2 linked regions of the Arabidopsis thaliana genome follow. The protein of the gene in region 2 interacts with the protein of the main gene of each other region in a pairwise test. Each region holds a gene or a part of one and is shown on either strand. Other genes may lie near its edges. The genes, in order: CB5-D and RTH.

The links.
Region 1: the proteins of RTH (region 2) and CB5-D interact in a two-hybrid assay, tested with the Arabidopsis thaliana proteins (one study listed by BioGRID).

Annotation. Positions count from the first base shown.
Region 1 is NC_003076.8:19,788,378-19,792,091, forward strand, and holds CB5-D (cytochrome B5), read right to left. Parts: upstream 1,996-3,714; 5' UTR 1,804-1,995; coding exon 1,717-1,803; exon of another isoform or gene 1,282-1,716; coding exon 1,215-1,281; intron 1,141-1,214; coding exon 872-1,140; 3' UTR 690-871; downstream 1-689. Other genes in the region: AT5G48800 (Phototropic-responsive NPH3 family protein), read left to right, coding at 1-10, 81-626. UniProt on the Arabidopsis thaliana protein: Membrane bound hemoprotein which function as an electron carrier for several membrane bound oxygenases, including fatty acid desaturases.
Region 2 is NC_003074.8:18,951,292-18,955,797, forward strand, and holds RTH (RTE1-homolog), read right to left. Parts: upstream 2,511-4,506; 5' UTR 2,351-2,510; exon of another isoform or gene 1,804-2,350; 5' UTR 1,770-1,803; coding exon 1,503-1,769; intron 1,419-1,502; coding exon 990-1,418; 3' UTR 782-989; downstream 1-781. Other genes in the region: TRX1 (thioredoxin H-type 1), read right to left, coding at 48-170, 575-664; AT3G51050 (FG-GAP repeat-containing protein), read left to right, coding at 2,732-2,794, 3,051-3,209, 3,480-3,731, 3,835-3,954, 4,035-4,115, 4,299-4,394.

The sequences.
Region 1 (3,714 bases), on a different chromosome or scaffold from region 2:
CTATCTTAAGGTATGTTGCTACAAGAAAATTTTACTTACTCTTGTTGTGACTTGATACTTATTAGGTTTTATGCTCTTAGGCACATCAAGGGTTATCAGATTCAGACAAGAAGAAACTATCAAAACTTATTGACTTCCAGAAACTCTCACAAGAAGCTGGAGCACACGCTGCACAAAACGAGCGGCTTCCTCTGCAATCCATAGTTCAAGTTCTCTACTTTGAGCAACTCAAGCTTCGAAGCTCCTTGTGCTCTTCTTACTCAGACGAAGAGCCAAAGCCAAAGCAGCAACAACAGCAGTCATGGAGAATCAATAGCGGAGCTCTCAGTGCAACAATGTCCCCCAAAGACAACTATGCGTCTCTGAGGAGAGAAAACCGAGAACTGAAGCTCGAGTTAGCTAGGTTGAGAATGAGACTCAACGACCTAGAGAAAGAACATATATGTATGAAGAGAGATATGCAGAGGTCTCATTCGCGCAAATTCATGAGCAGTTTCTCAAAGAAAATGGGGAAACTTAGCTTCTTTGGGCATAGCTCTTCAAGAGGATCAAGCTCTCCATCAAAGCAGTCTTTCAGAACAGATTCAAAGGTACTGATGGAGAGAACTTGCGCAAGCACAGATTAGCTCAGTGTTTATCATTTTCTCTTACCTGTTGCTGCTTTTTAAGTGAGACTTGAGACTGGTGTGTGAGTGATATTGTAAATGGATTTGATTGATATAAGACAACAAAGGTAGATGGCTTAAAAATCAAAGGTCTATCAGTTGATTGGAATAGAGAATATAATGATGTCTTACAAGACAAACAGAGGTAGAGACAGAGTTTAACCACGTCGTACACAAGCAATTCACTTAGGCCACAATTCAATCTTTCAAGAAGAAGGAGCCTTGGTCTTAGTGTAGTACCGAATGCCGAAAGCCAAGCCTAAGATTAGAAGTGGAACAAGGAACTGAAGGAGCTTAATAACAAAATCCGAGCTCTTATCCTGAGTAGCCACGGCTTTCGTCGACGTAGGAGGCACAAACTTAGCTTTAACCGGCACAGTAGCTGTGTCAATATCACCCACATAGTACTCATCTAGCATGGCTTTCGCAGTCGAACTATGTCCCACATCCTCGAAATCATCGGTCGCATCTTTCCCTGAATACCAACAACACATTCTTGTTAACATAAACATGAACTAACAAACAGAGAAAGTGATCTCTATATGTTACCTGTAGAAGTCAAGATAACCTCATCACCACCAGGATGATCATCCAAGAACTTTGTCACATCATAAACCTATATATAACCATCAAAATGAAACACACAAAAAATGTAAACTTTGTCATATAAGTCCCTAATTCCACACAATCAGAGACCTAGATTAAGTGGGTTATCAAAAGTTCATACATCAGAACATACATGAACTACATGAACCTTACTAGCTTTAACTACAGATACAAGATCACACAGAGACATCTTAAGCAGCACCAACTATCACATTCAATTATAAAGACGTAAGTTTTTAGCAATTTCTCTGTGATTTAGACTTAGAAAAGTAACATTAATCTAGCAAATCAGATCAGATCTATCCCCAAACTTGTTACTACATAACTCTAGATTTATAAATCCAAGTCAACACAACTCAAGAATTTCGGATCTCACGAAGATAAGATGCAAAATCTAAGGGAAAACGGAAAATCGAATGAGAAACTGGGATCGGAGATGTAGGACCTTGCCGTCGATGACGATCCAACAATCCTTGGCGCTACTGTGCTGAGAAACCTCGGACAAGGTGAAAACTTTTCCGTCTCCGCCCATCTCCGATGATCTGCTGGTGACTGGTGAGAGTTGAGAAGAGGAAGAGTATTACTATTATTTGGGAATCTGTGAGTTTGGGATCTTACACCAACCGCTTTTTTGGTCTACTTAAGTTGTGTATGTCTGATCTCATCTATTGATGGGGTCGGAAATTAATCAGTGGCCAATAATCAGCAGTTAATCAAAGATTCCGTTTTCTTATATTATTTAAATGAATTTATTTTATATATTTAATTAATGTAGAAACTAAAACAATTTATAATGTTACAAAGAAAAAATGTTATAAAAAATCTTAGTATTGTATGTTTTTCCTTAAAATAAAATAAATGTTTTTAGTAATTCATGTTAGCTGATAATGTTTCTACTAAAATCATGTTAGCTTATTGATTTCCATGATGCTTATAATGTTTATACTAAAATCATGTTAGCTTTATGTACATCAATTTAGATAAAATCCAAACGTTTGGTGGTTTCGCCCTCTTAGACGTATGATCAATCGTGTAGACGGCTAGATGTTAGGGTAGACCATTCTAATTGGGCCCAACCATTCACTCGGTCCACAAGATCCGGATCTTTTCTTCAGTTGTCGATAGTATTTAGTTTTTTCATGAACTATAGCAATATGGACACGATGATTCATGGGAGGAAAGATATGGGGTTGTCTTCTTTAAAACTTGATGGCGCTTAAGATAAAAACAGTCAAAGAGACTTGTCGGAAGGCCAGTGTAACGAAAGCAGTGTGGTTTTAGTTATAGGCTAAATTGAATATGAATAATTGATCATAGGCCCAGTTTGTTGGTTTATGATTTTAGAAAGAATTGATAAGAGAAGGAGAATGTTTTGAGGTTGGAACTCTCCGACAGATAAATATGATGGGAAGAATTATTCACGGTCGTATATTTTGACAAGGGACCAACGGAAAGGAGAGCAGTTGCATGCATCACTCGTCTTTACACTATTTAGAAAGAAAATGAATCTTGTTTAGTGATTCATTTTAAAAAGTTTTTCTATGTGAACCTCATTCGCTAGAAGTAGTTTAAATGTATTTGCCTTAATCCGATCTTAGAACTGGATATTTGATATTTCTGTAATCAGTTCGAATGTATCTAACTATAGGGCTAAAACACCGACTGTATAGTTCTTTCGACATATATAGAGTGTGTACTTTGCTTAATGGAACCATAGGCATGTTAAACGAGAGCATTTAATGTTGAAATTCACTTCTTTTTTCAATGCATGTTTTGACTCACATTGCAAGGCCTATGGTTGGTGTTCAACGAGAGAAAGAAACTATACATGACAAGTTAAAGACATTTATTTTGAAGGACTAACCCAAAAGGAGAACGAAAGAGAGCTAGAGAAGAAGAAACAAAAAGACAAAAAGGCTTTCGTAATCAGTGCTCTTCCTTTTTGGCTTTTTACTACCAAATAGTTTAAAAGAGTCAAACAAAACATCGAACAAGCTGAATTCAGATACCCCATTGGTCACACAGTTGATGTAAGCGAATCTATATGTCCCAAAAAACATGATTTTTATAGTCAGTGAGCCCGTGATCAAACAAGCACCCGTGTACATACGTACACCATGTCCATATGTATAAATGTATAATATAATGAATGTATCTGAACGTTTCATGCATTCACTTTTTCACTTTTAGAGATTAAAGAAAAACATAGAACAATGATTGGGTTCGAGATAAGATTTCACAGTTTCATCACACTGGTTTTGCCAATTTCCAAGAAATGTAAAAAAAAAGATAAAACAACAGAGATCTTCTCAATGAACACTGTCTCATCTTTTTGTCAGTTTCTTGTTAATAATAATTTGATATTCAAGATTCAAAACACTCTTATCTCTTTACTAATTAGTACAAAATTCACCTTTGTGTTTGTACTTTTAACTCTGAACTT
Region 2 (4,506 bases):
GAAAACAATATCTCTCAAGAAGAAGGGAAAAATGTTGGTGAATGTACCTTCAATTCATCAGTATCAACCTTGAGGAAAAGCACGTTAGGAAGTTTCTTAGCCAAATCAGCAAAGAATGGAGCGATGAAACGACATGGTCCACACCAAGAAGCCGTGAAATCAACCACCACCTTCAACAATATAACCAATCATGAATCATTTTCATTGAAAAACCATTTACACTAAAAACATATCATATCGTAAGAATTGTGAACATTACATCTATCTTCAGCGTAAACATTTTTCTAGGGATCCCTTAGTTTCATAGAATTATCAACATGACTCGTAATATAAGTCATTATGATCTCCTACCAATCCTAGGATCTAATCTATGGTAATGCAGATCCAAGAATTGTCATAAAATTCAAACATGAATTCATACAAAAAAGAATCATATCATTACATTGCTTAAGTATGAGAGATCAAAGACTCTATTTAAAAACGCAACCCAAAACAAACCAAATCAAGAATAATAACAAATCCATATCTCATCAAAAACAAAATGAAATCAAGAAATTTGGGAGAAGAAGATTACAAGAGTTTTGGATTCATTAGCCTTCTGAAGCTGCTCGTTCCATGTCTCAACGGTGTGGCAGGCGATCACTTGTCCTTCTTCCGAAGCCATCTTCTCTCTTTTTCTTCTCTGTTCTGTTTCTTCTCCTCTTGTGTTTTTTTTTTTTCAATTACTTAGCATGCGCGTCACCTACCAATCCCAATTTTGCCCGTCAATAGTTTTTCTCTTCTACTTTATTCGACGCGTGATTTTGTTTCCCATAATTACACCCACCAATTGCTACTTTCCTTCTTTACCCAAATCATAAATATTCACACTTTTACTCCTCAAAGTTTTACTTGTAACAAATTAACCACACACAAAGCAAAGTTGTAAATATCCATCGTAAAAAGTAAAAAACATTTTGTAGACATCATTTGTACATTATGATTCAAATCTACAGCTGAATCAGTTTCTTGAAACAATACGTTCCAATGATGAACCACCCGGTAAGCAAAACCACTAGAATCGAGCAGGAGGCAATGAAAGTCCAACCACCGAGTAAGATTCCTATAGTGTAGACTATGAGTGGAGGCAACAAGGACTTTACTATAGCCGTTTTGTTCACCCAACGTCCCTTGAAAAGCACTAGTGTCGCGAGATTCACCACGTTCCATCCGCCTGACTTTATAGATAGACGGTTCAGGTTGTTGGCTACAAAGGAATGACAGTTGCATGTGAGTATGTTATATGAGTGATGTTGGTACTCTTGCGTGCTTTTTCTCAGTGCATCATCCCATGTTGGCTCTTTCTCATGACTATCTTCTTCTTGCTCATATCTCCTCTCACCATTGAACATACCAGAACTGGAAGAACGAGATGACTCCTGATTCAAATCCAAGGCCAATATGAATAAATTGTTACTTTGTATCAAGGTTGAAAATGAAAGCCGGCATCTTGCAAACGTTACCATTTCTTTGTTGATTTGAATATATCGAGAAACAGCTCCAAATGCAAAATTATCAACACAGACAAAATTAGGTCCTGCAAAGTCGAGGATGACACCGTCTTCTCTGCAGATACCGACGTGGCCGATGAAGGGAACCAGCCATGAAATGAAGGGAAGAGGTGTCCAAACAATGCAGCATGGAAACCGGTCTCTTTTGGGATCAATTTTCATAGGATCCGATAATCCGATCATCATGCGATGTTCTGAATCTGTTGCTGTCTCTCCCATATCCAAATCCAGTTGAGCTCAATTATTTGATTCTCTGTAAGCAAAAAACAACACGTCCAGTGATCCCCATGTAAGTAAGATTCAATAAAGCACTTGGATTTGATATGTAAAAGTTGTTCTTAATACTCGAATAGCTGATGCATATCATTTACATCGAACCCAAAACATAAATGCATATCATCCCATCATGGAAGTCCGAGTTGGGACTGAGCCTTCCAGAAGCGATAAGCAGCTCCTTCTAGCCCTGTGCTGCTTTGGATTTTTGCATATACCAAGCTACTACCAATTCATTGATTACTGGATAAACTTGAAACAAGAGTCGTCTAATTGATATTCAATCAACACATTGTGCTAAAACACTACGACCACTACATAGAAAAGCTAAGTAAACAATTCTCGTAGTTCTACGAATCGCGAGTCTTAAACACTAAACGATGAATCCATACGAACATGGCGAACGAGGGATCCAGAAAACGCCATTAAAGATACATAATCCAACTAGCAACGAGTCAACATCAAAGCATCTTCATAGACATTGATTCCGAAACTTTTTCATAAAGAATAGATCAAAGCATACATACCAGTTCAAGCGACCAGGAAGACGATTAATCGGATCTAATACAATCTTCAATCACTGCCTTTTTCCTGGGAAATTTTTGTTTCTCTCTCGGCCCCAATTTTACGAACGATGACACTAAAGAACGTGTTTGGCTCCTTGTTTAAACTAATCCTCTCTCGGATATCTTCACCGTTTCAAGGATAGTAGTATAAACGACATAACGTTCGGTCAAAGAGAACAAAAACGTCAGGATGTTATTCTATTAAACGTCTGATATATCTATACGGCGTAGTTTTGAAGTTGTCGACTATTCTTCATCGTTCTCTCTGCTCTGGTAAGGAGATTGCTGCTACCTACTGATGCAAATCTGCCATTGATACATCTGCTTGCGGTTAGGGCAAAGATGAGGAAACGCGATTTGGCTATTTTGATGCTCTCTGGATTTGCTATATTCTTCACTCTTCAGGTGATTTTACACACTAATCGTCTTCTTATTCTTTCTTAGTTCAATCAAATTGTAGCTGAACATCTAGAATCATTGATCGATCTGTTACTTGAGAAAGCTTTGAATTTTCCTTTGTGGGTAGAACTTAGACTGCTAATTCGATCCGTAAGTAGTGTCATGTTAGCGAATTTGTAGAATTTCCAGATGGAACCAATGGATTCAATTTTCTTATTAATGGTGCGTTTACTTGATATGTGGGACTTGATGACTTTTGCAGCACGAGGGTGATTTTGCGTTCAAAGAAGCATGGTTTCATTTGTATGATGAATACCCAGTCAAATACGAAGCTGATCGTCTCCCACCACCTATTGTAGCTGATCTTAATGGTGATGGAAAGAAGGAGGTTCTCGTTGCTACTAATGATGCCAAAATTCAGGTATCATATGAAATTTTCTAACTTTTGTAGGTAAAAACATTTCTGATTTCGATCTTTCTCGCCAATTTTTATAGAGTCTATCTGGCTATTTCGGTCGTTAGAACGAATGATTGCAGCTTATAGTTCAGTGCTTATGCATTGCTCTTTATTGTTTTAGAGCCTTTTTGTCGAACTAATGATGTGAGGCTTGGTGATTATGCATTTCTCTTCTATGGTTTGCTGTTCTGTGTTGGATTAAGTTCTGAAACTGTTGATGTTTTGTTGGATTAGGTTCTGGAGCCTCATTCCAGGCGTGTGGATGAAGGTTTTAGTGAAGCACGTGTTCTTGCGGAAATCACTCTTTTGCCTGACAAGATCCGTGTTGCGTCAGGGAGACGTGCTGTGGCCATGGCCACAGGTGTTATTGATAGGTACTATAAAAATGGAACTCCCCAGAAGCAGGTTGTGGTCGTTGTTACCTCAGGTTGGTCTGTGCTCTGCTTTGATCACAACCTGAAAAAGCTGTGGGAAACGAATCTGCAGGTTTTTATCTTCTTCGTTCTTTGTCTAACGTTCTGCATAAAAGTTTGTCTTGGTTCAGTAGTATTGATTCTCCTTTTGCTTACCTTTGTTGGTGGAATGACAGGAGGATTTCCCACATAATGCACACCATAGAGAGATAGCAATTTCGATAAGCAATTACACATTGAAGCATGGTGATACGGGTTTGGTTATTGTTGGTGGACGGATGGAGATGCAGCCATATGTATGTAGGATGAAAAATTCCTCTGTTGATTTCCTATGTATCTTCCATATGTTACCAATAGATTATTCTTTTCGTTTTAGAATCACATGGACCCATTTGAGGAACTTGGCATGACAGCACAAAATGCTGATCAACACAGAAGAAGTGCTACTGAGAATCAGGTACGACTATATGATAGTTTCCTTGGACTGTTTCGTAGCTGTGTATATTTATAGTTTCCTTATACATTTTCTCTAGAACTGAACAATTCTGAAGAAAGAGCTATTCGTTTGTAGTTATACATGTTCCAATGTGCATAAGAACTTTGTTTGGACAGTTTAGAAGAATTTTAAGCTTCCTTTCAGGCCTCTGAAGATTCTGGAGCCATAAACTTGCGTCACTTTTCTGTCTATGCATTTGCTGGCAAGACTGGCCTTCTTCGATGGAGTAAAAAGACTGATGTCAGTTATTTATTCTTTTCTGCTCACTTCTTTATCTGCATATTCCTTAACTACATTCGTACCTGCAACAAATTTGGTGGTCAGATTGATAGATTTTTTTCGTTCTTCTCAT